Sus scrofa: one gene and its partner. The protein of the gene in region 1 purifies or fractionates together with the protein of each later gene. This does not show direct contact. Links are inferred from orthologs where the notes say so. Each region holds a gene or a part of one and is shown in the gene's direction. Other genes may lie near its edges.

Region 1 (15,159 bases):
ACCTCCACAATCCATCAGCACATTTTCATCCATCTCACCCAGGCAAAGCAGAGACACTTTTTTCCAGTGAAATCTCACTCTCTGCCCACTGATGTCTGATTCTAACCCCCAAAAACTACAGCTCAGGGGTGCCAAGTAGCTGGGTTTTGATCTGGCAGCAGCTTTGCTCTGTCAACAGTTTTAGCAAAAAAAAAAAAAAAAAAAAAAAAAACCCTTCCACTCTGCTGGCAATTTAGAGAGAGCGTTTCTGAAATGGTCTGTGGATAAAGGATGTTGCTGCCCTGGGAAAATATGCCTGTTTCCTGCCAGGAGGAGACAAAGACCATTGAAATGGGGCCAAAGGACGTCGTCTGCAAGGGAAGGTCAAACAGCCCTCAACAGTTCTCTTTCTTTAAAGTCTTGTCTTTTTCCATTAGCATCAGCTCCCCCCCACCCCACGTCCTTTGGGGGAAGGGTAAATGATGCTTCTTAGGAATATTATGCCCTTTATCAGAACTATGCAGTCTTGCTGCCTGGAGGGAAAAGAGAACAAGGAACACCCAGGATGGAGTTCCCATCATGGCTCAGTGGTTAACGAATCTGACTAGCAACCATGAAGACATAGGTTCGATTCCTGGTCTTGATCAATGCGTTAAGGATCTGGTGTGGCTGTGAGCTGTGGTATAGGTCAGATCCTGTGTGGCTGTGGCTGTGGCGTAGGCCAGCAGCTACAGCATCCGATGATGCCGCTTGTATGGCCTTAAAAAAGAAAAAAAAAAAAAAAAAGAGCCAGGATGCCCCCAGAGCAGAATGTGTGTTAGAGAAGAATCCTCTGGTCTCTCTGGCACCCCTCTCCATTCTCCTCCAACCTCTGTGCCTGAGCATATCAAAGCCTGCTTGCTACATAAATAAACCTGCTTGGTTTAATATTCTCTGAATGAATGAGACTCGTAGAATATTAAATCTGCAGTAAAAAGATAGCTTGGCGGAAAGTCATATACTGTATTCCTGACTTCACCTGCGTGAGACACCACTAAAGAGACAGATGTTAGGAGAACGTCAGGATGATTCCCTGGAGACCTGAGCCATGGCGCCACCATGGGAAGACTTCTTCTCAGGAGAACAGAGGGGGACAATGGAATCGGGGCCCTGATCCCTACAAAAGGCAGGCCCTGTGCCCTGCACAGTCAGGCTGGATCTCTGCCCTGGGAAGGGAGAACACAGAAGTCTGTGATCTCTGCTGGGAGCTTCTCTGTGTAGACATTCACCTGCTTGCCCTTTCCATGACAGAGGTCTGCTGAAGAATCGAGCTTCATGCTGGGTCTGCTTCAGCACTTAGATTTTTCTACAGAAGGAGAAGTGAAAGAGTCCAGTGCTCTCGGCTGAACAAGAAATAGCACGGTCCACCAGACAGGGTTAATTAACATCAGTCTGGAGATTTCATTCTGCAGGTGGGGAAGCTAAGCATCACAGGTCCAGCGAGTTTATCTGCAGCATAGCGGAACAAATCCAAGGCTGATAACAAGCGCATTCTTTAACCCAAAAAACCGATGCGCCGTCCTTTGAGCGAGCACCGCTCACAAGCTGCATGGTCATCACAAGCCTCCTGGTAAAAGGTTACATTCCTAGGAGGGTAAAGCAAATCCTTTTAGTTAAAATATTAAATATCAGAGAACCTCTTGTTCCTTCTCAGTAAACATGAAAGAGCTGAAATGATAATGACACACAGCAGATGGGTAGATTTAAACTTTAAATAAGACCTTTGCCCCAGCTGACTAAGCTTCCGTGGGTGAGCCTGTGGTCCCTGGAGTGTGAAGTTTCCCCCACCTTCTCTTCCTTACCTTTCTCCAAAGGGCAGTTTCAATGGAGCATTTTTAAATTGTAATTTAAAATTCTCTGAAACTGATCCAAAAAAAAAAAAAAAGGATAATATCTGATATCCATGTGCCCCTATAAAGAAATTGGAGAGAAACTCATCTATTAATCTATGTCTCTTCCAAATAAATTGCATGTGACGAGGGCCATGCTTTTTCTCTCCCACAGGAGAGATCAGGATACACACACTGCTGAAACAGTTGGCCACCTGTCCCTAGCCAGGGGTCCACCTCATGGCCAAGCATGCCTGGGGCCAGAACCCTTCAGATGGTTGAAGATCCCTCCAGCAACAGCTACTATTAACATGTCCCTTAATTTCATATTTAAGCAGGAAGGAAGGGAGGTGGAGCCTTTTGCTTGTTCTCTTTTGATGTCCTGGCTTTTCCATCACACCGACATCAGAAGAATTAAAGTGAAGATGCTCCCTAATGTCGGTTGGTCCTAAACAGTGGAAAGTGCCATCGTCTGTTCATTCAGGAACAGGCTGGCTGAGACATGTGCAAAGCAAAGTTCAACTCAACGTCTGTGATACAACGAAGCTCGCATTAAAATGTTTTTTTGTTTTTGTTTTTTTCTTTTTGCCATTTCTTGGGCCACTCCCACGGCATGTGGAGGTTCTCAGGTTAGGAGTCTAGTTGGAGCTGTAGCCGCCAGAGCCACAGCAACGCAGGATCTGAGCCGCGTCTGCAACCTACACCACAGCTCGAGACAACGCCAGATCGTTAACCCACTGAGCAAGGGCAGGGACGAACCCGCAACCTCATGGTTCCTAGTCAGATTCGTTAACCACTGCGCCATGATGGGAACTCCCCTATTAAAATGCTTTTATTGTTTGAAACCACGAAATTCAAAGATGATTAAACTCTGTGAACTTTCACACACTATTCAAACAAAGTTCATTTTTCAAAAAAATTGAGACCATGAATGAGTTAGATAGAACTTTTTTGGGGTAAGTGTGTATCCAAAATCCTTTATTTTATTGTTTTTAGTTTGTTCCACTGTTTCTTTCTTTGTATCTATTTTTAAACAATATTATTGAACCCCTAGCTGTGGTGTAGGCTGATGGCTACAGCTCCGATTCGACCCCTATCCTGGGAACCTCCATATGCCACGGGAGCAGCCCAAGAAATGGCAAAAAGACAAAAAAAAAAAAAAAAGAATTTTACTGAAGTATGATTACAATATAATATATGGTAAGGTGTACAACAGTGACTCACAAATTTTAAAGGTTATACTCCATTTATAATTATTACAAACTATTGGCTATATTAACTCTGTTATACACTATATACTTTGTGCTTATTTATTTTATTTATTTATTTTGGTCTTTCTGCCATTTCTTGGGCTGCTCCCTCAGCAAATGTAGGTTCCCAGGCTAGGGGTCCAATCCGAGCTGTGGCCACCGGCCTACACCAGAGTCACAGCAATGCAGGATCTGAGCCGTGTCTGCGACCTACACCACAACTCACAGCAACGCCAGATCGTTAACCCACTGAGCAAGGGCAGGGACTGAACCCACAACCTCATGGTTCCTAGTCGGATTCGTTAACCACTGAGACATGACAGGAACTCCTGTGATTATTCATTTTATACAAAATAGTTTGTACCTCAATCCCCCTAAGTGTCCATCGATATATGAAAGGATAAAGAAGATGTGGTATATGTGTATATATACACACACATATATATAAATAGACACACACAATGCAGTACTACTCCGCTGTAAAAAAAAAATTAATGAAATTTTGCCATTTACAACAACATGGATGGACTTGAAGGCTATTATGCTAGGCGAAATGAATCAGAGAAAGACAAATACTCTATGACCTCTCTCTCTTTTTTTTTTTTTTTTTTTTTGCTTTTTAGGGCCATACCCGAGGCACATGGAGGTTCCCAGGCTAGGGGTCAAATCGGAGCTGTAGCCGCTGGCCTACACACCAAAGCAACAGCAATGCCAGATCCAAGCCGAGTCTGTGAATTGCACCACAGCTCACTGAAAGACCAGATCCTTAACCCACTGAGCGAGACAAGAGATCAAACCCGAAATATCATGGTTCCTAGTTGGATTCATTTCCGCTGAACCACGATGGGAACTCCTCTAAGATCTCATTTTTATGTGGAATCTAAAAAATAAAGCAAACTAGTGAATATAACAAAAAAGAAACAGAACTCACAGATACAGAAAACAAACTAGTGGTTACCAGTGGGGAGGGTTCCCTGGTGATAAAATAGACTGAATTTTTCTTTTCTTTTTTTTTTTAGCACCACACCCACGGCATATGGAAGTTCTCAGGCTAGGGGTTGAATCAGAGCTATAGCTGCCAGCCTATGCCACAGCCACAACACCAGATCTGAGCTGCATCTGTGATCTACACCACAGCTCAGAGCAACACCGGATCCTTAACCAAATGTGAGAGGCCAGGGATGGAAACTCACATCCTCAGGGATCCTAGTCCTGTTCGTTACCACTGAGCCACAATGGGAACTCCCTGAATTTTTCAGAAAGGCTTTCATTATGTTAAAAAAGCATTAAGTAAAATGTTTACCTAAATACTACACACAGAAAAATGCACAAATCAAAATGTACTTTTAGGAGAATTTTCATCACATAAACGGATCAGGAAACAACGTCCCAGGACTCTATAGTTGTAGACACTCTCATGGCTGTTTAGTATTCCATTGGGTGAATATACCACAATTTTCCAGTCTACTATAGAGATGGCCATTTGAGTTGTTTCCAGTTTTACACTATGTGGAATAGTCTTGCTATAAACATTCTCGGGTAAATTACATATGCTTTTCTAGGGGTCTATACCTAGGAGTAACATTACCAGCTTCTCATTCAATGTATATACTGGTTTCTTTCTTTTTCTTTTTTGGCTACACCCACAGCATGCAACTTTCCCCGGGCCAGGGATCAAACCCACGCCACAGCAGTGACAGCGCCGGATCCTCAAAATGTTGAGTCACTAGGAAGTATTCCTATACTGGTTTTGACATGTTTAAACTCACTGGAGTTTCCATCGTGGCTCAGTGGTTAACGAATCTGACTAGGAACCATGAGGTTGTGGGTTCGATCCCTGGCCTTGCTCAGTGGATTAAGGATCGGGTGCTGCCATGAGCTGGGTGTAGGTCGCACACTCGGTTCAGATTCCACGTTGCTTTGGCAGTGGCGTAGACCAGCAGCTACAGCTTAGATTAGACCCTGATCCTGGGAACCTCCATGTGGTTCGGGTGCAGCCCTAGAAAAGACAAAAAGACCAAAAAAAAAAAAAATTTCACCAATTCAAAGTGGATCTTTCTGCAGTTGCCTTGTTTTTATTCCTATTTACTCTCATTCTTTCTTACAACTTTACAGCCCAGAAACAGGGCTGTGCTAAAGGTCGCAAATGAGTCCTGAAATAAATAGGTTAGACTGTGTCTTTCTATTCAAGAAATGCTGAGGTGGGTCTCAGGCTAGACGAAGGTCCCCTTGCCCTGAAGGTCATCTGTGACACATGGCCATACCTTCAAAAACATTTTAACATCTCTTCCAGGGCCTCTTACCCACAACCAGCCTTAAGGGTAAGGAGATTGGAGGTACTCATGATTACAGGAACGTTTTTTTAAATGGCAGCACCACAAAATATACCTCCTTAGCCTGGGGAAGGCTTGGTTCCTTGTTAAAGAATAACCCACTGACCAAATAAATCATGTAGATCTTGTCTGGATCCCAATTTGAACAACTGTAAAATAAAACAACAGGGAAATCTGAATATTGATTGGATAGTAAATGATATTGTGAAGTTAATGGTAATATTTTTAGAGGTGACAATATCATTTATGTTTTGTAAAAAAATAGTTCTCTCTCAATAGATATTTAAGTATTTATAAATGAAATGATATGATATATGGGATTTGCTTTAAAGATGGGAGAATGGAAAGTAGGAAGATATGCACAGGTGACTAAATAATGACTATTTGTTGATAATTGTTGAAACTGGATAATTGGGTACATGGGGTTCACTATAGTTTTCCATTATTGTATTTGTAAATTCTCTTTTTAAAAAAGGCAAGAGAAAGAAAGAAAAATCACTCAGTACAAATTCCTTATCAGCCATTCCAACAGCAGCTTTGGGTAACAAGGCTCTACCACCAACATGCTGTGTGACTTTGTGAGTTGATCCACATCTCAGGGACTCTGTTCACTAATCTGAAAAAAGTGGCCTAAGGGTGAGATTTCTCTCCGGGGCCTGTGGGCTTGTTGAGACGAGTGGAAGGGCATCAGGGGCAAGGACTCAGCAATCAGGGCAATGCAAACTTTAACCTCAGCTCTGATACTGCATATGACCTTGGACTGTCACTGCCCTGTTTTTTTCTTTTTCCTCAGTTTTCTTATCTATAAAAACGACCTTCCTATCTCATTGGTAGGAAAATTAACAAACGTAGATTCTGGCACCGTCGGTAAGGGGTAATAATTATTCATTTCTCTTCTCAATTTCTCGATTTTGCCCAGAACCAAGGATGTTGACAGGATCTCCCTGACAATGCAATCTTTAGATCCTGGGTGCAAGAGCAAGAAACTACCCGCCGCGCAGATGCGCGAACAGCGCCCTCGTGCGCGCACAGCGGAGAAACAGCCAGAGAGGCGGCCCCGCCCATTGGCGCCCGCGCCTGCGCAAAGGCGCCGACCCGAAGTTTGTTGTTGTGACAGGCGTCCCGGCCTCCTGCGGCTCGGAGGAGACCCAGCCGCGGCACCATGGTGGTGCGACAGGCTCTGGGCCGGGGCCTGCAGCTAGGCCGAGCGCTGCTGCTGCGCTTCACAGCCAAGCCTGGCCCGACCTATGCCTGGGGGCGGCCCGAACGCCCGGGCCCAGCGGCGGGCTGGGGCCGCGGAGAGCGCCCTGGCCCTGCCGCGGGACCCGGAGCGGAGCCGCGCAGGCTCGCGCTCGGGCTCCCCGGCCGCTACCGCTTCTTCCGCCAGTCAGTGGCCGGGCTGGCGGCGCGGCTCCAGCGACAGTTCGTAGTGCGGGCCCGGGGCGGCGCGGGCCCTTGCGGCCGGGCTGTCTTTCTGGCCTTCGGGCTGGGGCTGGGCCTCATTGAGGAGAAGCAAGCGGAGGGTCGGCGGGCGGCCTCCGCCTGTCATGAGATCCAGGTGAGCGCCGGCCGCGGGCGGGGGTCGGAGCGGGAGCGGGAGTCGGGCTGCGGGCGGGGCTAAGTGTGTGGGCGGGTCTTGGGTGGGTGTGGGGTGGGGCTAAGTGTGGGCGTGGTGAAGGCGGAGCTGGGAGGCATTAACTGATTTGGGGCCCTGGGTCAGGGTTTACCTTTGTCCGAGCTGGAAATTCCTTGACATCACTGATTAAGGCTCATTTTCGATGTCACTGATCTCCTGACCTGGGGCTTAACAGCTCACTTTTTACTGTTTTCCCTTCCTTCAAACAGCATATTTTGGAAGTTATGTTAATAACCACTCATGTTGCACCTTGGCCAATAACTTTCTGTAAATTTTCAGAAATTTAAGGACAACTAAGACATAATACTTATATTCCTGTGGTTGGTTGTCATCCCTAATTTATGGATGAGGAAACACACTCAGAGAAGTGAAAGGTGGTGTAAATTGCTGAAAGTCACACAGCTCATAAAGGGCAGTGCCCCAAGTCTGATTTTACAAAGCCTGTGCCGTTAACCACTGCTCCAGCCAGGCTCCTTCCACAGTTTAGCCAAATCAGAAGTGACACAGTGACTGATATTAATGACAGATCTGAAGCTTCAGCAAAAACCAAGAACAGCAAGAGAAGATAGCAGACCTGCTTTATTTTTATTCAATGAATTTCATTGTATTTATAGTTGTGCAACCATAATTACAGCCTAATTTTATTTATTTATTTGTAAAGCAAAAGCGTTTATTAAGGCGTCAGAGGGTGGCTGAGCTCAAGATGGCACCAGCCCTGACTGTGAGGAGGTGCTAGGCTTATAAAGAATCTGTCACAGCCTAATTTTACATTGCCATCCCAAACCCCCAGCGTATCCCCCCCCCCCAACCTGTCTCCTCTGGTCCCCGTAAGTCTTTCAAAGTCTGAGTCAGTTTCTGTTCTGCAAATAAGTTCATAATATCCTTTTTTAGATTCCACCTATAAGTGATAGCTATGATGTTTGTGTCTCACTGTCTGACTACCTTCACTTAACATGATAATTTCCAGGTCCATGCATGTTGCTGCAAATGCCGTCATTCCATTCGTTTCTATGGCTGAGTAATATTCCATTGGGTATATGTACCACATCTTCTTTATCCACTCCATCAACAGAGGGATGGACATTTAGGTTGCTTCTGTGTCTTGGCTGTTGTATATAGTGCTGCAGTGTACATTGGGGTACATGTATCTTTTTAAATCATGGTTTTCTCTGATGTGGGATTGCTTGATCATATGGTAATTCTATTGTTAGTTTTTTGAGGACTCTCCATGCTATTTTCCATAGTGGTTGCACCACTTTACACACCCACCAACAGACTAAAAGGGTTCTCTTTTCCCTTTGCTCCGCACCCTCTCCAGCATTTATTGTTTGTAGCCTTTTTGTTGTTGTTGCTTTTTAGGGCCGTTCTCATGGCATATGGAAGTTCCCTGGCGAGGGGCTGGATCAGAGCTGTAGCCACTGGCCTACGCCAAAGCCACAGCAATGCCAGATCTGAGCCGTGTCTTCCACTTACACCATAGCTCACGGCAACGCTGGATCCTTAACCCACTGAGCAAGGCCAGGGATCGAACCTGTGTTCTCATGGATACTAGTCAGATTTGTTTCCGCTGAGCCACGATAGGAACTCCCCTCATAGTGTGGGTTTTTTTTTGTTTTTTGGTTTTTTGTCTTTTTGCCTTTTCTAGGGCCGCTCCCGCAGCATATGGGGGTTCCCAGGCTAGGGGTCTAATCGGAGCTGTAGCTGCCAGCCTACACCACAGCTACAGCTATGCCAGATCTGAGCTGTGTCTGCGACCTACACCACAGCTCACGGCAATGCTGGATCCTTAACCCACTGAGCAAGGTAAGGGATTGAACCCGAAACCTCATGGTTCCTAGTTGGATTTGTTAACCACTGAGCCACGACGGGAACTCCCTCATAGCAGGTTTTTTTGTTTGTTTGTTTTTGAAAGTTGAGAATTAAATTTTATTTGAGACAAAATTAGGACTTAAGCCCAAGAGACAGCATCTCAGGTAGCCCTGAGAAACCACTCCCCCCCATAGTAGTTTTGATTTGCCTTTCTCTAATAGTGATGTTGAACATCTTTTCATGTGATTTTTGGCCATCTCTAAGTCTTCTTTGGAAAATTGTCTGTTTAGATCTTCTGCCCGTTTTTTGATGGCTTTTTCTTTCTTTTTTTTTTTTTTTTTTTTGGTATTAAGCTGCAGGAGGTGTTTATATACTTTGGAGCTTAATCCCTTGTCAGTCACTTCATTTGCAGAAATTTTCTCCCATTCTGTGAGTTGTCTTCATTTGGTTTAGGGTTTCCTTTGTTGTGCAAAAACCTTTTAAGTTTAATTAGTCCCATTTGTTTATTTATTTTTTTTTACTGTCATTACTCCAGGAGGTGGATCTGAGAAGATATTGCTATAGTTTATGTCAGAAAGTCGTGGGCCTATGTTTTCCTCTAGGAGTTTTACAATATCCAGTCTTATATTTAGGTCTTTAACCCCCAGATCCTTAACCCCCCAAGCAGGGCCAGGATTGAACCTGTATCCTCATGGATACTAGTCGGGTTTGTTGTCACTGAGCCACAAAGGGAACTCCTAATTCTGGGCTTCCTATCCTGTTCCACTGATCTGTATTTCTGTTTTTTTGTGCCAGTACCGTACTATTTTGATGACTGTAGCTTTGTAGTAGTCTGGAGTCAGGGAGCCTGACTCCTCCAGCCCCATTTTTCTTTCTCAGGATTGCTTTGACTAAGCAGACCTAGGTTTTTAGTTAATCTGTATAATTATCAGGGATGACTAGATACATAGGGTTCTAAGGCTTTTTAAATGTTTGAAATAGCTCAGAGAATTCTGTTTCTACTCAACCAAAATCAGAGTTCTCCAGAGAAACAGAACCAATAGGATGTGTTTATAAAAAGAGATTTATCCTAAGAATAGGCACCGAAGTTCAGGAAGGAGGCTGCCAAGTCCTCAGTCTGCAGAGTGGGCCAGCAGGCTGGTGATCCAGGCAAGAACCATTGTTGATGTCAAGTCTGAAGGCCGTATGCTGGCAGAATTCCCTCTTCTTCCAGGGAGGTCATTCTTATGGAATGACCTTAATGGAAGGTAGGGTGACTTGCCCAAGGGTATGGCTGGTTGAAGAGCAAGCAGTGTCTTCCATGTGTTCTGGTTTTCAGCCCAGTTCAGTTACTCATCACCAGAGTGTCTCATGTTTGCGCTCTGGCCCGTTTGGGGTGACAGGTGACATCTGACCTAGTCCCCAGCCTCTGTCCTTGTCTTTTTTTACAGCCCAACTGGCAGAAGCCAAGGATGGCCAACTTGACAAATATGGAGGCTTTTTTATTTTTTGTATTTTTATTTATTTATTTATTTATTTATTTTGACCTTTTAGGGCCGCACCCACGGCATATGGAGGTTCCCAGGCTAGGAGTCCAATTGGAGCTGCAGCTGCCGGCCTACACCACAGCCACAGCAACACCAGATCCAAGCTGCATCGGTGACCTACACCACAGCTCACAGCAACACCGGATCCTTAACCCACTGAGCAAGGCCGGGGATCAAACCCCCAACCTCATGGTTCCTAGTGAGATTCGTTTCCACTGCACCACAGTGGGGACTCCTATGGAGGCTTTTTTTAAAACTGAGGCGCTTGATCCTCCATCTCCACATCCTTTTCTCACACCTCACCCTCCTGTGTCTTAACATTTTTAATTAGTTGCCAATTAATTTTATTTTTATATGACTTTTATTTCCTGTTATAGTTGATTTACAGTGTTCTGTTAATTTTTACTGCACAGCCAAATGACCCAGTCATACATATCTATACATATTCTTTTCCTCACATTATCCTCCATCATGTTCCATCACAAGTGACCAGATACAGTTCCCTGTGCTATATATAGCAGGATCTCGTGCCAATTAATTTTAAAAATTCAAGCATTTGACTTCTTATTGAAAAAAAAAAAACACCAGATCTGGCAACTCTAATGCTAAAATTCCATGTGGTATCATACTGGAGTATAATAGTGATCACTCTATTTCTCATTTGGAAAAAAACCCTTTATAATATAGGCAAAAGACATGAATATGTATTTCACCAAGAGGAGTTGCAGGTGCCAAACAAGAATATGAAAAGATGTTTAACACCACTAGCCATTAGGGAAATGCAAATAAAAAATGCAATGTGATATCTCTGCATACTTATTAGAAGAGATAAAATTTTTTATTTTTTTATTTTTTGCTTTGTAGGGCTGCACCTGCAGCATATGGAGGTTCCCAGGCTTGGGGTCTAATCGGAGCTACAGCTGCTGGCCTGCACCACAGCCACAGCAATGCGGGATCCTTAATGCACCAAGTGAAGCCAGGGATCAAACCCGCAACCTCATGGTTCCTAGTCAGACTTGTTTCCACTGTACCACAACGGGAACTCCTAGAACAGACAAAAATTTTAAAGTAGTAATAATACCAAATGTTTGAGAGGATGCAGAGAAACTGGACTGATAGTGAAAATATAAAATGGTACAGCCATTCTGGAAAATAGTTGGCAGGAGTTTCTGCTGTGGTACAGCAGTTTGGGGATCTGGCATTGCCACAGCTGTGGCGTGGGTCACAGCTGTGGCTCACATTCCTGGCCTGGGAACTTCCATGTACCATGAGTGTAGCCAAAAAAAAAAAAAAAGTTGGCAGTTTCTTACAAAACTAAACATTCATTTATCATATGACCCAGCCATTGCCATCTCAGGCATTTACCCAGGGAAATGAAAACTTACGTTCAACAAAAACCTGCATACGGAGTTTCCGTCGTGGCGCAGTGGTTATCGAATCCAACTAGGAACCATGAGGTTGCGGGTTCGATCCCTGGCCTTGCTCAGTGGGTTAAGGATCCGGTGTTGCCGTGAGCTGTGGTGTAGGTCGCAGACGCGGCGTGGACCCTCCGTTGCTGTGGCTGTGGCGTAGGCTGGTGGCTACAGCTCTGATTCAACCCCTAGCCTGGGAACCTCCATATGCCGCGGGAGCAGCCCAAGAAATGACAAAAAGACAAAAAAAAAACCTGCATACAAGTAGCTGCTGTGGACAACAGTATGACAGTTCTCCCCCACATTAAAAATAGAATTATCATATGATCCAGCAATTCCACTTCCAGGTATATATCCAAAAGGATTGAAAGCAGAGACTTGAACAGATGTTTGTACACGTGTCCACAGCAGGATTATTCACAACAGTCAAAAGGTGAACACCCAAGTGTCCATCAGTGGTGAAAAATAAGCCAAATGTGCTATGTACATACAGTGGAATAATATTCAGCCTTAAAAAGAAAGGAAATTGACTGCAGTGGCTCACGTCACTGCTGTGGCACGGGTTTGGTCCCTGACCCAGGAACTTCCACATGCCATGGGCACAGTCAAAAAAAAAAAAAAGAAAAGAAACTCTGACACATGCTACAGCATGGGGGAAACTTGAAGATGTTATTCTAAGGGAACTAAGCCAGTCACAAAAAGACAAATCTGTATGATTCCACTCGCATGAGGTGCTTAGTCAAATTCACAGAGACATTAAGTGAATGGAGGCTGTTGGGCTGGGGAAGGATGGGTATTAATACAGAATTTCAGTTTTGCAAGATGAAAAAAGTTCTAGAGCTGAACGCTGGTGATGGTTATACAACAGCCTGAAGGCACTTAATGTCACTGAACTGTACACTTAAAATGGTTACAAGGGGAGTTCCCGTCCTGGCTCAGTGGTAATAAACTTGACTAGTATCCATGAGGACGCAGGTTCGAACCCTGGCCTTGCTCAGTGGGTTAAGGATCTGGTGTAACTGGGAGCTGTGGTGTAGGTCGCAGATGTGGCTCGGATCCTGTGTTGCTGTGGCTGTGGTGTAGGCTGGCGGCTGTAGCTCCAATCCGACCCCTAGCCTGGAAACCTCCATATGCCTCGGATGTGGCCCTGAAAAGACCAAAAAAAAAAAAAAAAAAAAAAAAGGTTAAAAGGGCCAATTTTGTTGTGTATATTTTACCACAGTTCTTAAGAATAATTTTTAAACTCTGTACATGAATGTTCATGGCTGCATCATTCATAATAACAAAATATTGAAAACCTAAACATCCTTCAGCAGGTGCATTGTTGGGCTGGCATAGCCAGGCAGGGGGATACTAAGCAGTAACAAACGGAACCATTCATGACAGCTCCATGAACCTCAGGGGCATTATGCTTAGTGAAAGAAAGTCAGTTCTGAAAGGTTACATCCTGTGTGATTCTATTTATATAACATTCTTGACATGACAAAACCATGGAGATGGAGAACAGATCAGTGGTTGCCAGGGACCGGGACACGGGAAGGGTGGCGCAGATACAAAGAGGTAGCACAGAGGAGCTCTTTTGTGTTGACGGCACAGTTCTGTACCTTGACTGTGGTGGCAATTACACACATGTGTACGTGGGATAAAATTGCATAGAGCTACATGCACAGGCGCCTGCGTGCACACACAGACACACACTCGTGCATGAATGCAGGTTAAACAAGGTGGTGAAAACCAAGTAAAATCTTTAGTCAACAGTAGTGCATGTTGTCAAATTCCTGGATTTGATATTGTACTAGTGCTTTATAAGACGTCGCCATTGGGGAGTTCCTGTTATGACTCAGCGGGTTAAGAACCTGAGTAGTATCCATGAGGATGCAGGTTCTATCCCTGGCCTTGCTCAGTGGGTTAAGGATCTGGCGTTGCCTTGAGCTGCGGTGCAGGTCACAGACTCAACTCAGATCCAGCGTTGCTGTGGGTGTGGCATAAGCCAACAACTGCAGCTCCAATTCGACCTCTAGCCTGGGAACTTCCATATGCCTCAGGTGCAGCCCTGAAACGCCAAAAAAAAAAAGTCACCAGTGGAAGAAACTGGGTGAAGGGGACACGGGACACTTTGTTATTTTACAGACTACCATTTTTTTTAAAGCAATAGGTCATCATATGAGGTGTATGAGCTTATAGATTCCAAGTGCTTTAGGAATCCTCCAGAAGGAAAGATTGCTGTGGGCTGAGTTGCCAGGACTGGTTAAACGAGAAGCAGGAGCTGGAGTGGGGATTTGATGGGTGAGTAGGGATGAGCAGGCAGAGCAAAGACGATAGAAATAGGGGGCAGCGGGGGGCGTGTGAGCAAAGGTTCAGGGGAGACAAGTGAGAGACATGTATGGATAGTGCACCGAGCAGCCCCCGAAGCCATTGTCACAGGAAGTGCTGGGACAAGGTACTGGATAACCTGTCAGGTTCGGGAACAGAAGAGTGGCACGCTAAAGCGGTGGTGTCCTCAGGTTCAGAAGCAGGTGAAGGGGTGCTGTGAGAGTGGGGGAGTCTGGAGGTAAGCGACTCACCATGGAGAGGGAGGGATCAGCCGGTCCACAGGGTTCGAGGAGGACGGTGGAGTTTGGCGACTAGAAAAACGATGGTTGTCTGTCTGAAGGAGGCATGCACCCCAATTTGGGGGAAGTGCCTCTTTCCCAGGGCCTCCCCATAGCACCTGCATTTCCATCTACTTCCATCAGAATGCTTGTATTCTTGTTTCCTTTGAAAAGGAGATGGCCCAGCAGATCCCTAGGAGGTGGAGATAGGAAGACAGGGGTGTGGCCAGGCCACTCAAGATGGCTGTCCTCTTGTTCTCGGTACATCCCTGCTGGACCAGGCCTGGCTTCGCCTGCATCCCACTCACATGAACGTGCTTGCGCCCTGCCCCAGCTAGTGATTGTTCTCGACTTTAGGCCAGAGCAGCTCCACCTGCTAGTTTATTAAAGGGAAACACCTGCTCTCCTGATGGTCGTTTATCGGAGGGCCTGTGAGGGATGCACCGCAGCCGCTGGTCTCCCTGGTAACTCATGAGCCAACCTGACATCACTGGGACCTTTTGCCGTGAACGTCTAAGACCTCCATCTCTGTCACCATCTCTGGTCTCTTTCCTCAGTTTCCTCAAGGCTGGGCAATAAGGCTTGCAGGCCTTTGGGGTGCAGCCCAACAACTGGGGAGCCAGCCAGGGTCCAAGGAAACCCCCATGAGGGCCAAAACGTCAGGAAAGAAGGACGGAAAACAGAAAGTTGCGAGCCAGACCCCAGGGTGGCTGTCTGCCCGGTGGCAGCTGACGACCACGAGAGAGGTCTCTTCC
Region 2 (15,029 bases), on another chromosome or scaffold:
TTCAGAGGAAAGAATGCTATTTAACAAGGTGATTATTATTAGACCCATTACCTAAATATCTTCTGAAAAAAAAATAAAAGGTCTATCCCTTGGGAACTTGATGACCTCCTCAAAATAAGCGGAGTAAATTCCCAGGATGCCAAAGCACTTGGCAGACTTTCTAGCACTGGCATGACTTTGTCCTCTATCCTGGAAAATGGTAAAAACAACATCATAAGACAGAGGGCAAAACCTGTGCTTGTTTTCTTAGCGTCTCGGCCAATAACTAAATCGGGATGGTATCACTTAGCTCTCTGTCATACAAGGTCCAGCTTTTATGACTGGGCTGGGCTGGTCTTGCTTTGGGGATCAAGAGAACCAATGCGGAGAACCTAGCTTCACGTCTTTGTCTAACATCGACCCGAATTGGGTTTTTTTGCACTAGGTTTCCCACTGTATGTTACTTCCCATCCTCACCACCTTCTCTTTCCTTAGTCAGAGATGGTGCATTAGACTTGGATGAAATTATAAATTATATACATATATATGTCTAATCTCCTAAAGCTCTAGAGTGTTCAGATGAATGACTTACAATATTGTTACAGAACAGTTTTCATATTTTGTGATAGGAAAAAAGTCTATTTAATTGATATGAAGCTCAAATTCCACAATACCTTTATTGTGATACAGTTTTATGGGAAACTATCATCTGCTTTCCCCCCAAAAAGGTTCAAAGAAAATTCTAGAAGTTTGTCTTAAAGCTTCTTTGTCTCTGAACCTTTTTTTTTTTTTTTTTTTTTTTAGAGACACAGAAATGATGGGCATGAACATGTTTTCCAAACTGATTTAGAGGATACTGAAGAAATCCCTGATTTTGGACCAACTGAGGAAACAAGACTGACACATTTAAATCACATAAGGAACAATCTGAGGCAATCAGTATTAAGTTCCATAAACAGGAGTTCCTGTTGTGGCTCAGGGGGTTAAGGACTCTATGTTGTCTCTGTGAGATGCAGATTCGATCCCTGGCCTCACTCAGTGGGTTAAGGATCTGACATTGCTGCAAGCTGATGCATAGGTCAGATGCAGCTCGGATCCAGTATTACCCTGGTTGTGACACAGGCTGCAGCTGCAGCTCTGATTGGACCTCTAGCCTGGGAACTTCCATATGCCACGGGTGCAGCCATAAAAAGAAACAAAAATTATGTGAACAGACTGAGATTTCTAAGGAGCAAAACTGCAGGACTCACATTATACTCCACCTACTTCATAAGGTTTTACTTCATAAAAAAAGAAGGGAGGATATTTCCAGGTATGAAGTTGAATGATTTATCTTTCAACTCAGGTTAATGTTCCACCTAAAAAATTGTTTCCCATTTACATTGCATCAGCTCTCTTAGTTAATCTCTCCAGAAAGCTCAGAGCCCTTGACATGCTTGTCCCCTAACTTCATGGTCTAACAGTACTCTCATCTTCATCACTGTAGCCCCCAAGATCAGGCTTTTAAAGCCATTCATTCACATGATCTGTGGCAAAGAGCTTTCAGATCAGTGTTCCCAATTCATCCTCCCCAACATGCTAGAACAATCTTCCTAAAACACAGCTACAAGCCTGTCTTTCTCCTCATCGAAAATTGCAGTGAATTCCCACTGCCCACCACATTAATTATAAACTCCTCTCCCTAGCATTTAGTCCTCCAACGCAAGCTCCCATATTAGCTTTCAATTTCCTTTCTCCCCTGTAACTGATCCATAATCAGCCACACTGGAATTCTTGCTATAACTTAAATGTCCCAGAACTCCTATACCTGTACTATTCTTGCTTATACTGTCTCATCAACTTTGAGCATCCTTTCTCTGCCATGATAAGCTGCAGAAATGGTACTCACTCCTCCAAATTCCTCAAATACCACCTTCGCTGAACACATTTTCTCATCTTTCCCCCTCCCACAGTGGGCATGAGCATTTCTCCATCTAAACCCCTCGGCATTTCCTTCACATCTCCAGCAGAGCACCCACTCACCCCACTCTGCTATGCATGACAGCCTTTTTACATGGTTCCTAATCCTTTTCAAGGCTATGAGCTCCCTAGAGGCATGAAAAGTTTCTTAACTCATCTGGACATACTAGAAAGCATTGCAGGCAGTGTAGAAAACAGGTACATCTGTCCATTGAATGGACTATGAAGAAAGACAGGAAGGTGGGGCAAACAAGCATATTCACTGGGACAGTGAGGAGCTTAGGGACCCAATGAAACTGCTGTCCAGTGGGGAGCAACAGAGACTGAGAAGGGCTAGCCATATTTAGCCTGGCTTTCAAAAGCCACTGTTGTGATGTGACCCCCAACTTCCTCTAAAGCAAAATTTCTCTTGCCTTCATCATCTTTATTACAAATTTTAATTGTTTGGTTTGTCCCTTTACATAGGTACTATCCCTCTGTACCACACACAGTCAAACACAGACTCAGCCCTAGGTCCCAAGAGTACATGGATTATACCTGCCTTATTCGTGGTTCCCCACTGTCAGCAGAGTGTCTGGAACATGGTAAACATTTGATACACGTGTTTTGAGTGAGTTAATGAAAGCTGTGCATCATAAGATGCTGTAAAGATTAGAGGACGTCAAATGGGTAAAATGACTAGCACACGGCTTGAACAGAATAGACACTAGTAAATATTAGCCTCCTCTTTCCTGCCCTCCTTTTCTTCCTTCCTTCTTACCTTCTTTCTTCCTTCCCACCTTCCCTTCCTTCCTCCCTCCCTCCCCCTTTTATGAACTACTCATGCAGTAGTTCATACATTCTGCAAATGTGCTAGGTTTCTCTGTAGGCACTGGAGATAGGACAGGGAATGAAAGAGAAAAGTCTCTACCCTCCTGGAGCTAACAAGGGAATGAGGGATCCACTTTGGATCTTTAGGGAGTTTTAGGCATGCAATTACTAAGGAAAAAGAGGTTTAGGCTGAAAGTCAGACACATTGGTGGGGGTAAGCAGAGCCTGGAGGAAGGGAAGCCAAATGCAATACTGCACGGATGGGGCAGAAAATGGCTTCGAGGTGAGTCACAGCAACATAACAGATGAGTGGGTGCAGAAAGCAATGGACAGGACACCCATGGGGTCTGAGCAATCCAAGGGTAAGGAAGTGGCAAAAATGATGAAAGTTTCCAATCTTGATAGTTGGCTAAGTTACCTTAAATAGACAGGGAAGTGAGGAGGGGAAGCTGCTATGGTTGGTGGGGTTTTAGGGTGTGAGATGAGCTGAGCCCAACTTCCAATAGGACTTTGGATAGGATGCCTTTGAAAGGGCAGAAAGGAATCTAGGTGGAAATTCTTGAATTCTCAAAGTAAGGCTTTAGAGTTATGTGAAAACCAAACTCTCCTCTTATCTATTATGCATCACTGTTACATCATTTGAGTGACATAAAACATGATACTCTCAAGTATTTGTCAAATTCCTTTAGGAGTCTGCACCTTCATAATGTAATCTGCCTAGTTACCCTATCTCTTCAGCTCCTAAATCACAGTTTGCCCCTCAATAATATTTTTGAATTATACTGGTGAATAGCAAGCAAAATTTCAGGTATATTTGGAATCAAAAGGGCTCAGGTCAAATGCTTGCCCCCTTCGTCCCTCCACTGATGATTATATGGTCACAAGCAGATTTTTGGCCTGTGTCTCAATTGCCTAGTCTTTAAAAGAGATGATCTAAACTATCTCGCAGGAGGCCAGCCTCTCATGCAGTTACAATAAATATATACAGGAGTTCCCACTAAGGCTCATTGGGTTAAGAACCCAGCCGGTATCCATGAGGATGCAGGTTTGGTCCCTGGCCTCACTCAGTGAGTTAAGGATTCAGAGGTGCTACAAGTTCCAGTATAGGTCTTAGATGATGCTCAGATCCCATGTAACCATGGCTGCAGTGTAGCTCTGATTTGACCCCTAACCTGGGAATTTCCACATGCCAAAGGTGCAGCCCTAAAAAAAAAAAAAAAAAAAAAAAAAAAAAAAAAATACAAAATTCATGTCATTCATCCAGTAGGCACAAAAATTCAAGCACTTGCTGTATTACTGATCATGATCATCTTTTATATCACAGTTTTCAGATTTTACCGTGACTTTCACACTCTCACTTTATCCACCTTCTCATTGCTAACATTCCATCCAGGCGATCCAGCTAGAAGCTGTCCTCTTGGCACAACCTCTTGCCAGCCAGCTCCCCTAAAGCCTCCACAGGCCACTAAGCCCCTCTCCACATGGCTGGCTGGTCCGTCAGTTCCAATCGCCCAATTCAACTGACATCACCACAGCTTGCAAATTCCAAAATCACTGTTAGTACTTTAGATTTGGTAATGTTTACGCCTGGCCTACAAATGGTCACACCGTGTCCTTATTTATACACAACTTGCAGCATGTGGTGCTTAAAGATGCTTCAGAGCCCAGCGTTCAAAAATACTCCAGAGATAGGTTTTCACAGCGATCAAAAAATAAATATGAAAACCAAGAAAGCTCTGTCTATGTTTATTTCCAAAAGGTAGCTAAGAACATGTGGCACGCAGAGAGCAGGGCTGCTCAAGGATGGGAGTTCAGATGTATTGATTTTGTTCATTGATGACTAACCTCTCTTGGTTGAGGCACCCAGCTGGGCAGTGCCTAATGTATCAGAATGAAACAAATTCTTTCCAAAGTCTCATGCATTCTACATGAATGAGTAAATGTGTTTTTGTAACCTTCACTTTTCTATGCGCTACAGTCTACCCCAAGCTATGACAGTTTCTAATAGGAAAAGACACACCAGATCTGCATATCTTTGTGTCTGTGCATGTACGTGTTGTGTGTGCATGTTCGTGTGTGTGTATGTTCTCGGGTGTATGTTCATGTGTGTGCATGTGTGTGTGTGTGTGTGTGTGTGTGTGTGCATGTGCGCGCTGTATGGCAAGTACTACGGATTGAATGCTGGTGTCTATCCCTACAATCTATACATTAGAGCCCTAATCTCCAATATGCTGACACTTATAGGTGGGGCCTTTGGAAGGTAATTAGGTTTTAGTTGAGGTCATGAGGGTGGGGCCCTTAGGACAGGATTAGTGTCCTTATAAGAAAAGGAAGTGATCAGAGCTTTTGCCCTCTTTTTTGCCACATGAGGACACAGCAAAAGGTGGCCACCTGCAAACTACCAAACAGACTCTCAGCAGACCCCAGGTCAGCTGGCACCTTGATCTTGGACTTCCTGCCCCCACAGCTGGGAGAAATAAATGTTTGGTGCTTAAGCCACCCAGCCTATGGCAATTTGTTGTAGCAGCCTGAGCTGAGACAGCAAGCACACACACACCCATCCTAAGGATACAGCTTGGGGACAGGTTGCAAAGGAGAAGGGATACCCCCCGAGATGATGATGAGGCCCCAGCGTCCCCCCCAGAGGGAGTCACCCACAGACCTGAGGAATGTGCTTTGGTCACCAACAGGGCACCCTGCCACACCGCACCAGAGCCTTGCCCTCATTTCCCCGTGGTGACTCAGTCAGCAAGCGTCCCCTGACAGCACCAGCGCATTGTCCTGGGATCAGCATTTTAGGTGGGAGGAAGGTCCACCCTCCCTTTCCCCAGAGGGAAACGGCTTTTTCTCATCCGAAGGGTTCCAGGCAAACTCACAATAGTGACATTTGCAGAGCGGAGCTCGCATAAAGGGCTCTCAGAGCATAAGTGGGCCCGCTAGGACGCCACACCCCAGGAATGCGCCTCGGGAGGGACCCGCAGAGCGGGGAGAGAATTAAGGCAATCCACAGCGGGGGAGCGGTACAGCAAGGGGTCCTGCAGCGCGACCTTGGCAGCCCCACCGGCCAGAACGAACTGAAAGGAGGTAAACAAAACACTGCCTAAAAGAGGCTTGTACAAAGAAGTGAAAATAAACCCTTCATTTGGTTCTGAACTATTTTTTCTTAAATGCCAGGCAACCTTCAGGGCCCCCCTTTCCAAAACAAAAACACAAAAGCAGAGGGAAGAATTTTATCTCCCTCCACATCCACCACTGAATCAAGATGTTTCTACTTTTGCAGTGATTTTGGAGTTAATCCGTTCAATACTCAACTCTTCTAAACACTGAAACACCACAACAATAACGACGAAAACCTGTGATTTTTAAATTGCTACGAAATCACTGACAGACTCTCTTCTCTGTTCTGCGCTTTACTCATTCCCAACAAAACCCCTTCAGTTGAGTGATTTACCTAGAAAGATTTTCAGGTTGGAATCTGAACACGCCCTTGTGCCCTGGACCAAAAGTTTTCTCCTTCTGTAGACAGCTTTATCCCCCTCACTCCAAGATGAATTGCAGGAATTCTTCTGGAAAATAGGCTAAGGGACCTGTGACATTTCTCAGACAAGTCACCAGAATCCTGCGCTGTGCATCATGCGTGAACTAAAATGAACACATAAATCTAGTCTCAAACATTCAGTCCCTTGAGTTACATAACTGCCTTTTATTAATCAAATTAAACATTTAAAGCAACATCTACTTAATTCTATAATTGGTGTAGATTATATCTTTAATGTCTCTCACTACAGCAGAAAAAGCAGTGATCACTCAATTGGATTTTGCAACTACAGAGTTTCCTCTTTCACCCAGAAACGTTCAGATCTTGTTAAAAGTCGGGTGCGGTTTTACGGGGGGAGGGGGTGGAGGAAGGCGGAGAGGAGACCGGAGGGGAGGCGGGAGGAAACTTTGCAAGAAAAACCCTCCCCAAGTGCCTTTGTGAGGCCGGAGACCGGCGTTTGGCGGTTACAGAGCCTCCGCGGAAGTTTCTTACTAAAGAGAAGCCAGCATATTGGAGCAAAATCTGGATTGGGCGCGTTCCTAAGAATTTAGGAGCGCTCTAGACTCCAAACCAGCGAACGGCACATAAGAAAGCAGAGCCCAGCTCGAAGTTGGGTAAAACTTAGAACCAACAGTACTCGCACAGTGGCCCGGGGAGACGAAAGTCAATCTCGTCTAACGGTTTTCCTGAACCGCTAGGACTCCTCAACCTCGGTGGCGGGACAGCAGAGCGCAGTGACTCACTGCCAGTGGTGACTCAGCGACCCCACCCATCTCCCCTGGGCTTTCCTTGGCCACTTCCTTGCAGCTCCTTGTCCAAAGCCGGGCCCAGCCGGTTAGGTCCCTGAACAGGAACTCCTACTACAGGAGGACGAGGAAAGTTGGGGCCGGATTGGTCCCGCTGTCCAAGCAGGCGTGCGCAAGGCTGCGCAGAGCCCAGAGCCCTGCGCCCCGGGCTGTGCGCGCCCCCACCTCGCGCTCCAATCTCAGGCCCTCTTTGTTTCTTTCTCCACGCCTTCCGATCTGCTGGATCCCTCACTCCTCTCTTCCGGCTCCTTTACCCGCGGGGCCCCCCCACCCTCGCGCTTCCAGGCGACCGCAGCCAAGGGGCCGCGCGCCCCTCCCACCCGCACGCTTCCTCCTACGCCTCCCTAGCTGGCTGGGTGCCCGGGACCCTTGTGGTTCAGTCTAGGGAGGGCTCCCCCATCACCGCGGGACCCAGCCTTTTTCATCACCCAGAGGTGAGCACACCTCAGGCCATCCTCAGGAAAGCCCCAAAAGTTCCAGTTCAGCCTCCAAGTTACTGGGGGACTGAGCATAGTCCCGGTTGCGGAGGAGGGGGGAGGAGGGAGGCTCCCGGGCTCCCCCGCCCCAAACCCCAGGCCAGCCTTCCCGCCTCTCGCCGGGTCCCCATTGGCTGGCGCACTCCGCCGCCGGGATGGCAGTGGGAGGGAACGCTCCATCCTAAGGCGGTTATAAAAACTGCGCCCTCGGCGGGGTCCCGTCCTCTGCCACTCTTGCTCCGGGGTCCCCGCGCCAGAGACGCAGCAGCGCTCCCTTTGCCCACACCCACCGCTCCCTCGCTCGCCTCTCCTCCCGGAGCCAGTCCGCGCCACCGCAGCCGCCCAGCCCACTGCCACCTCTGCAGCCATGTCCACCAGGACCGTGTCCTCGTCCTCCTACCGCAGAATGTTCGGCGGCCCTGGCACCGCTAGCCGGCCGAGCTCCAGCCGGAGCTACGTGACCACGTCCACCCGTACCTACAGCCTGGGCAGCGCGCTGCGTCCCAGCACCAGCCGCAGCCTCTACACCTCGTCCCCGGGCGGCGTGTACGCCACGCGCTCCTCGGCCGTGCGCCTGCGGAGCAGTGTGCCCGGCGTGCGGCTGCTGCAGGACGCGGTGGACTTCTCGCTGGCCGACGCCATCAACACCGAGTTCAAGAACACCCGCACCAACGAGAAGGTGGAGCTGCAGGAGCTGAATGACCGCTTCGCCAACTACATCGACAAGGTGCGCTTCCTGGAGCAGCAGAACAAGATTCTGCTAGCCGAGCTCGAGCAACTCAAGGGCCAGGGCAAGTCGCGCCTGGGGGACCTCTACGAGGAGGAGATGCGAGAGCTGCGCCGGCAGGTGGACCAGCTCACCAACGACAAGGCCCGCGTCGAGGTGGAGCGCGACAATCTGGCCGAGGACATCATGCGGCTGCGGGAGAAGTAAGACTAAGCGCCCGCGGGGCTTCAGGAGGGCGGCAGAGGGGAACCGAAGCTAACACGCCCTTGGGGATGTGGCTGGGGCGGTGGCTGCCTGGGGTACGCGGTGGGCGGGGGGAGAGCGCTGTGGCTGCTGCGGCGCAGCCCTGCCCTGAACCCAGATCTTGCAAGTTAGCATTTACCCTCTACCCCGACTCATTGCCCAAGAACGACCAAAATTCAGATTTCTTAAAACTACCACTTTGTTGTTACTCGAAGGCTCCTGCAAACGATCAGTGCGATTCCCCCAAACTTTGAGAAAGTTTCCTGGTCCCCTCTGACGGGCTGCTCTTTCCCCAGGAGCGGTGTAGGAAGCGAGACAAAGGGATTGCAGAATCTTCACGGGGGAGTGGGGTGGTGGCATTCGCCTCCCAGGTCATTGTAGCAACTGCGATTGCTTTTTACGCAGCGGCCAGGGTCCCTTTGAGATTTGCCAAAGGCAGCAGTTCTAAAAGCCATAGTCGCCGACTGCCACAGAGGTGGCGCAGCAACTCGGCTGTCTCGCGGCGAAGACGTGGTGGTTGGGTGTGGTCGCCACGCCCCTGGCGGTTTCCCAGTTCCCCTTCGGTTGATGTGCATCTCTTTCAGGTTGCAGGAGGAGACGCTTCAGAGGGAGGAAGCCGAGAGCACTTTGCAGTCTTTCAGACAGGTTTGTAGATTCTCTTCCCACTTGCAGCCACCCGACCCCACCCACCCAACCTACGGGCAGTTCTCAAAGTTACTTAACCCAAGTCTAAATCGTGCAAAACTTCTCGTCTGCTCGCCAAGCCCCCTAGTGGCAGAAAGACCACAGTTGGGAGCTTCTCCGCCTTAAAAACCCTCGAACGATTAAACCGTTCCTTCCATAGGACGTGAATAAAGTCTTTTTGACTTTGTTTCAAGATTTTTTTCCCCCAAGACATGACTTTTTTTTTCCCGTTTCGGTTCTGCAACACACTGATACTCTGATCTCGAACAGTTACAGTTTGATTCAGACTTCGGTTTGCCAAAGTCAAGCTAGCTAACTTTTACAGGGCCACACAAAGCGGAGTTCTGCCCCGTTAGTTTCAAGTGTACAATGTATTGGAGAATTAGAAACTTGGTTTAACTGGACTTAAGCCAGCAAGTTTCTTTTCTTCCATGCAAGTTCTATTGTGGCCTAAGGTTAGATGGAAGTATCCGTGTGCACAACTATTTTGTGATCTAATAAGGGTGAAAAGGAGCCATCTGTCCCCTTGGCTGAAAGGTATTAATGGTTTCTATGGGCTTCACTATGGAATGTAGATACAGACATTCTGGCAAGTGTGGTGGCTCTGGACAGGAATAATAGGAGTCTTTGTGTTCCCAGAGACTCTTTGCAACAGGCTACATTCTTATTGAGTATGTAATGATGTAAGCAGAGTTCTAATTGGACACAAGTATTTGCTAACATCCGTTATCTAATATCTGGCTCAGACTCGTGAAGTGCTAGACGTGGAAAGTCCTTAAAGCTACAGTCGTAATACCCCACATTTGGAAAGGTCTTTCTTTATTGGATCCTTGTGTTCTTTAATATTTTTTCCATAAAGAAAGAAGAAACCTGAGAACGAAGAATGGAATTTTCAGTAAAGGGTTTTCTTGCTTCAAAGATAGGAGGCCTTCAAGGATTTTTAACTTCATCTGGAATCCCAAAGCAGGGAGTGTTCCCAGCATAATTTCATTCTCCTGAACACTTACTGGGATTGGTTATAAAAGCTTCCTCAGATGAACAGTCGAGTAATATTTTGAAGCCGAAGTACATTTGCCAAATTAATTTAAACACAAATATGTGGTGTATTCTAAGTCATGAAGCATTTCTGATCACCATATCTGCAATGTTTTCTGCTGAGTAGGAACTTAATATAAAACAGTATTAGTATAACTTGTCCCTCCTACTTAGGGATTAGGTAAAACCACTCATGTTCTATTCAAAGTAGTAGAATGAAGGACTGACCTTTTTTTTTTCTTTCTTTTAAATGAAGAGTAGTAAATTTTCCTGTACATCTTTCGTAGGGCTTAACAAGTAAAAATGAATTTTTTCCCCAAGCTGGATCTTTTTACAATCATCTATTCCTTATTCACTTTTCCACGAAGATGATAGAAGTAGGTCAACATTTTAAAACTGTCAGGCTGTAAACCATGCTTCAAATATAATTGCTTACAAGATAAGAGGCATAAAAATCCTGATGACATTCCCTTGCCAGGGGGAAATAAAATCTTCCAAGGATGTAGCAGTTTACAAGTGGTGGAAACACAGAAGCAGACGAGAGGAGCAAGAATTTTACATACAGTTACACTGTATGCATTTTGACCAGTCATTCTGAAACAAGCTTAGTAAGAGAACTGACACCGGTGCTAAGTGAAAAGGATAGACACGCCCTTCTGAGATGAGAGGGGTGAGTTTCTATAGAAAAATCTACCAGAAAAAGCAAAGCAAATACAGTTCAGAGTGACATTTCTTTGCTTCAGTTTCCTGAACTGCATTTTTGCCAGTATACATCCTGAACTGAAGTATAAATTGAGCCTTGCAGTTTGAATGCCAGATGACTATAAGCTTGCTTTGGATCTTAAGGATACGTTTCAGAAGATATAAGTAGAGGGGGAAAAAAAAAGAACTTAAGTATTATCTGCTGAAACTTCTTATATACTCATGTATACATAAGTTGTGAAATCTGGAGTTCCCTCTGTGGTGCAGTGGGTAAAGAAGCTGACTACAGCAGCTTGGGTCGCTGTAGAGGCTCAGGTTCCATCCCCGACCTGATACAATGGGTTAAAGGATCTGGCACTGCCACAGCTGCAGTTCAGATTCAGTCCCTGGCCCAGGAACTTCCATACGCCATGGGTGCAGCCATTAAAAAAAAAAGGTGACATCTGATCAACTCCCATTGTCCTATTATATTCCATGATGTTACCCCTTAAAAAACTTGACAATGCCATAGCATTGATTTTCTAGATTAAAAAAAAAGTAATTAAAAACCTTCACTGATACAATACACTGATACGAAATTGAGGGGAGTTTACCATGTTGGCATACACTCATTTATTTTTAAATTGTCTGTTATTAGCTACCTTGAGTACAACTCAGTGGGTCACCCTTCAAATCTGTTAGCATGGTATTTAGGAGATTTCCAAACTTATTTGAAGGTCACAGTATCTGTCAACACCCTTTTCACAGCAGAGATGTAAGTGCAAAGATATTTAAAAAGACTAAATGGGAGAAGCCCATAGACATTAGCATCCTCGTCCGCATCTTACCTTTTTCTCTTTTCCAAACAGGATGTCGACAATGCTTCTTTGGCACGTCTTGACCTGGAGCGCAAAGTGGAATCCTTGCAAGAAGAGATTGCCTTTTTGAAGAAACTGCACGATGAGGTCAGAGGCGAGCCTGGGTGGTGGATGGAGGTGGGTGAAGCTGCACCCACACTGGGCACGGCCGACCTTCTGTCTTTTCCTTCTTCAGGAAATCCAGGAGCTGCAGGCTCAGATCCAGGAACAGCACGTCCAAATCGATATGGATGTTTCCAAGCCTGACCTCACGGCTGCCCTGCGTGATGTCCGCCAGCAGTATGAGAGCGTGGCCGCCAAGAACCTTCAGGAGGCGGAGGAGTGGTACAAGTCCAAGGTATGAAGCGGGCAAGAGTGGCCAGAACCAAAGAAAAGCATTTTGTTCTGAAAAACGCTGCACCTGGCTGTGATTCCTAAATACCTCTTAGCTCCCACGTTGAGCTGGCTTTACCTCTTGTTCAAGTTTTACTTCTTACTATATCCTCCCATCACTCATGCCCCCTCCCTTAGAAGAACAGACTCTCTTTGCACTGCCCCTCTGTCCCCCTACATCCAAGTAAACCCCAATACTATGCCCTTAACCTCCGCCCTTTGACGAGGAGGGAAACAGTGAATTTCTGCTTGAAAATCTCGACATCAGCTTTCCACCTCCTTTGCTCCGGTGTCCCAAACAGACATGGAGACAGATTCTTGGAAGGCGCTGAGATATGAACGATGTGTAAAAAATTGGGTTGGTATCGGGCCTTATTTTTGTAGCTGTCTGTCTGCCACCTTGAAGCTTTCTCATCTGTCCAGGCCAGGAAGTCTCTGAGAGGATCTGTTGGCTGAAGCTCCTGGGTGACCAGGGTTTCTGCTTTTCTTCCCGACAGTTTGCCGACCTCTCCGAGGCTGCTAACCGCAACAACGATGCCCTGCGCCAGGCCAAGCAGGAGTCAAATGAGTACCGGAGACAGGTGCAGTCTCTCACCTGTGAAGTGGATGCGCTCAAGGGGACCGTGAGTATCACCTGGCGAGAAAAGGGGGCAGATCACCAGCTTGGGTCCATTCCTGTAGCCAAGCCAAGGGTGCTGTGGAAGAAAATGTCATTCACAGGAAGAAACACTTACACTGTAATCTAAAGAAAATGAGTCATCAAGACAGATTTTAAAAGAATTTGGGGACTTCCTGTATGGGCTCAGAGGGTTAAGGATCTAGCATGGTCATTGCAGCAGCTCAGGTCTCTGCTGTGGCAAGGGTTTGCTTCCTGGCCCGGGAACTTCCATATACCACAGGCATGGCCAAAATATATATATATGGAGGGAGTTCCCTGGTGGCTCAGCAGGTTAAGGATCCTGCATTGTCACTGCCATGGCTTGGGTTCAGTCCCTGGCCTGGGAACTTCTCTATGCCACGGGCACAGCCAAAAAGTAAATAAATAAAAAATGAAAAGAATTTGGAAATCCAGAGGTTTTAGTTTACATACATTATGGCTTCCGCTAGGAAGAGGATTTGGTACTTAGATTTTCTGCCTAAAATTGGAGTATTTCCCATTTGCTGCCGGGGTCCCATTTGCACATGGTCTAGAAATGGTTGAGGGAATGGCTGGTTTTTTTATGCCCCTGGGGAAATAACACTGGCAGCCTTTCTCATCTGCAGAACGAGTCTCTGGAACGCCAGATGCGGGAAATGGAAGAGAACTTTGCCGTGGAAGCTGCTAACTACCAAGACACTATTGGCCGCCTGCAGGATGAGATTCAGAACATGAAGGAAGAGATGGCCCGTCACCTTCGTGAATACCAAGACCTGCTGAATGTCAAGATGGCTCTCGACATTGAGATTGCCACCTACAGGAAGCTGCTGGAAGGAGAAGAGAGCAGGTGGGGACCGGGGGTGGGTGGGAGTGAATTCCTGGCTGCCATTTGCATCAAGCTTCTCGCTTTCTATGCATTATCTCATTCAAACTTTACAACCTTTCCTCAAGGTAGCTCCTTGCCACTTTGTACAGATGAGGAGCCTTCAGTTTAGAGAGAGTGAGTTATGCCTTGGTCCTAGTCAGTTAATCCACTCTCAGAGCTGGGATTTGAACCTATGATGCTGTGAAAACCAACAGTCACTCTAGAATCCCTCCACTCTAGAATACTGCCAGCCCCTTGGAGAAAAAGGCTTGGAGTAAAATATTTAAGTGTCCTAATGAGATCAAACATGGGTTAATGCTTCTGAAGCAAATCATTCACCTGTGAATTTATGAGTCGATTTTCCTATTTGATGAAAACAAACATATACATTTGTTCCTTGTTGTCTTCCAAAAATTTTACTGTTTTTCTTTGTCTCTTTGTAGGATTTCTCTGCCTCTTCCAAATTTTTCTTCCCTGAACCTGAGGGGTAAGCATTTGGTTGTCCTATATGAAAAATTTTAGCAGCTTGTAACTGTTCTGTTTATAAAGCACTCATTTTTTAAATGATACCTGAAAAATACCCCACAAGAGAACATTTTGTAAGACAGCCATAATTTTCTTTTTTTTTTCTTTATTTTCCTTTTTTTTTTTTTTTTTTTTTTTAATGGCTGTACCTGCAGCAAATGGAAAGTATGCTAGGGGTTGAATCAGAGCTGCAGCTACAGGCCTAAGCCACAGCAAACACCAGATCTGAGCCACAGCTGCTACCTACACTGCAGCTAGCAGCAATGCTGGATCCTTAACCAACTGAGCGAGGGCAGGGAAGGAACCCGCATCCTCATGCACACTATGTCAGGTTCTTAACACACTGAGCCACAGTGGGAACTCCCAGCCACAATTTTCAAACCCCAGTGCTGTCTTACATTCTGTACTTTCAGGTAAATTGAAATCCATTTTTCTTCCTCCTGATGGAGGAGACAGTGAAGCTGTCCATCTCATTGACTATCCCGAGTGGTGTCGGTCCCCTAGGTTTTAAAATAGGTGACAGTCTTTAGAATTATCACAGGAATAGTGCTTTAAACAATCACAAACAGAAGTCCTCATTCCTTGGACCAAGTAGTTTCTGGTCTTTTTAAACATTTCGCTTTTACTCACTGGGGGCCTGTTTTCTTTATCCAGAAACCAATCTGGAATCCCTCCCTCTGGTTGACACCCATTCCAAAAGGACACTTCTGATTAAGACGGTTGAGACCAGAGATGGACAGGTGGGTATCTTTAAATCAAAACGGGAGTAACCTCAGACAGGCACTGAGAAATGTTTCAATCAGTAAGTCTGTCT

Evidence for each region.
Region 2: the proteins of PINK1 (region 1) and VIM purify together in Homo sapiens (affinity purification with mass spectrometry; 3 studies listed by BioGRID and IntAct, with this or other methods). This does not show direct contact. The link is inferred for Sus scrofa from reciprocal best matches to the Homo sapiens genes PINK1 and VIM.

What each region holds. Positions count from the first base shown.
Region 1 is NC_010448.4:78,856,697-78,871,855, forward strand, and holds the start of PINK1 (serine/threonine-protein kinase PINK1, mitochondrial), read left to right. Parts: upstream 1-6,498; 5' UTR 6,499-6,592; coding exon 6,593-6,988; intron 6,989-15,159. UniProt on the Homo sapiens protein: Serine/threonine-protein kinase which acts as a sensor of mitochondrial damage and protects against mitochondrial dysfunction during cellular stress.
Region 2 is NC_010452.4:43,509,705-43,524,733, forward strand, and holds the start of VIM (vimentin), read left to right. Parts: upstream 1-6,736; 5' UTR 6,737-7,935; coding exon 7,936-8,498; intron 8,499-9,122; coding exon 9,123-9,183; intron 9,184-11,807; coding exon 11,808-11,903; intron 11,904-11,991; coding exon 11,992-12,153; intron 12,154-12,685; coding exon 12,686-12,811; intron 12,812-13,451; coding exon 13,452-13,672; intron 13,673-14,133; coding exon 14,134-14,177; intron 14,178-14,869; coding exon 14,870-14,955; intron 14,956-15,029. UniProt on the Homo sapiens protein: Vimentins are class-III intermediate filaments found in various non-epithelial cells, especially mesenchymal cells. Vimentin is attached to the nucleus, endoplasmic reticulum, and mitochondria, either laterally or terminally.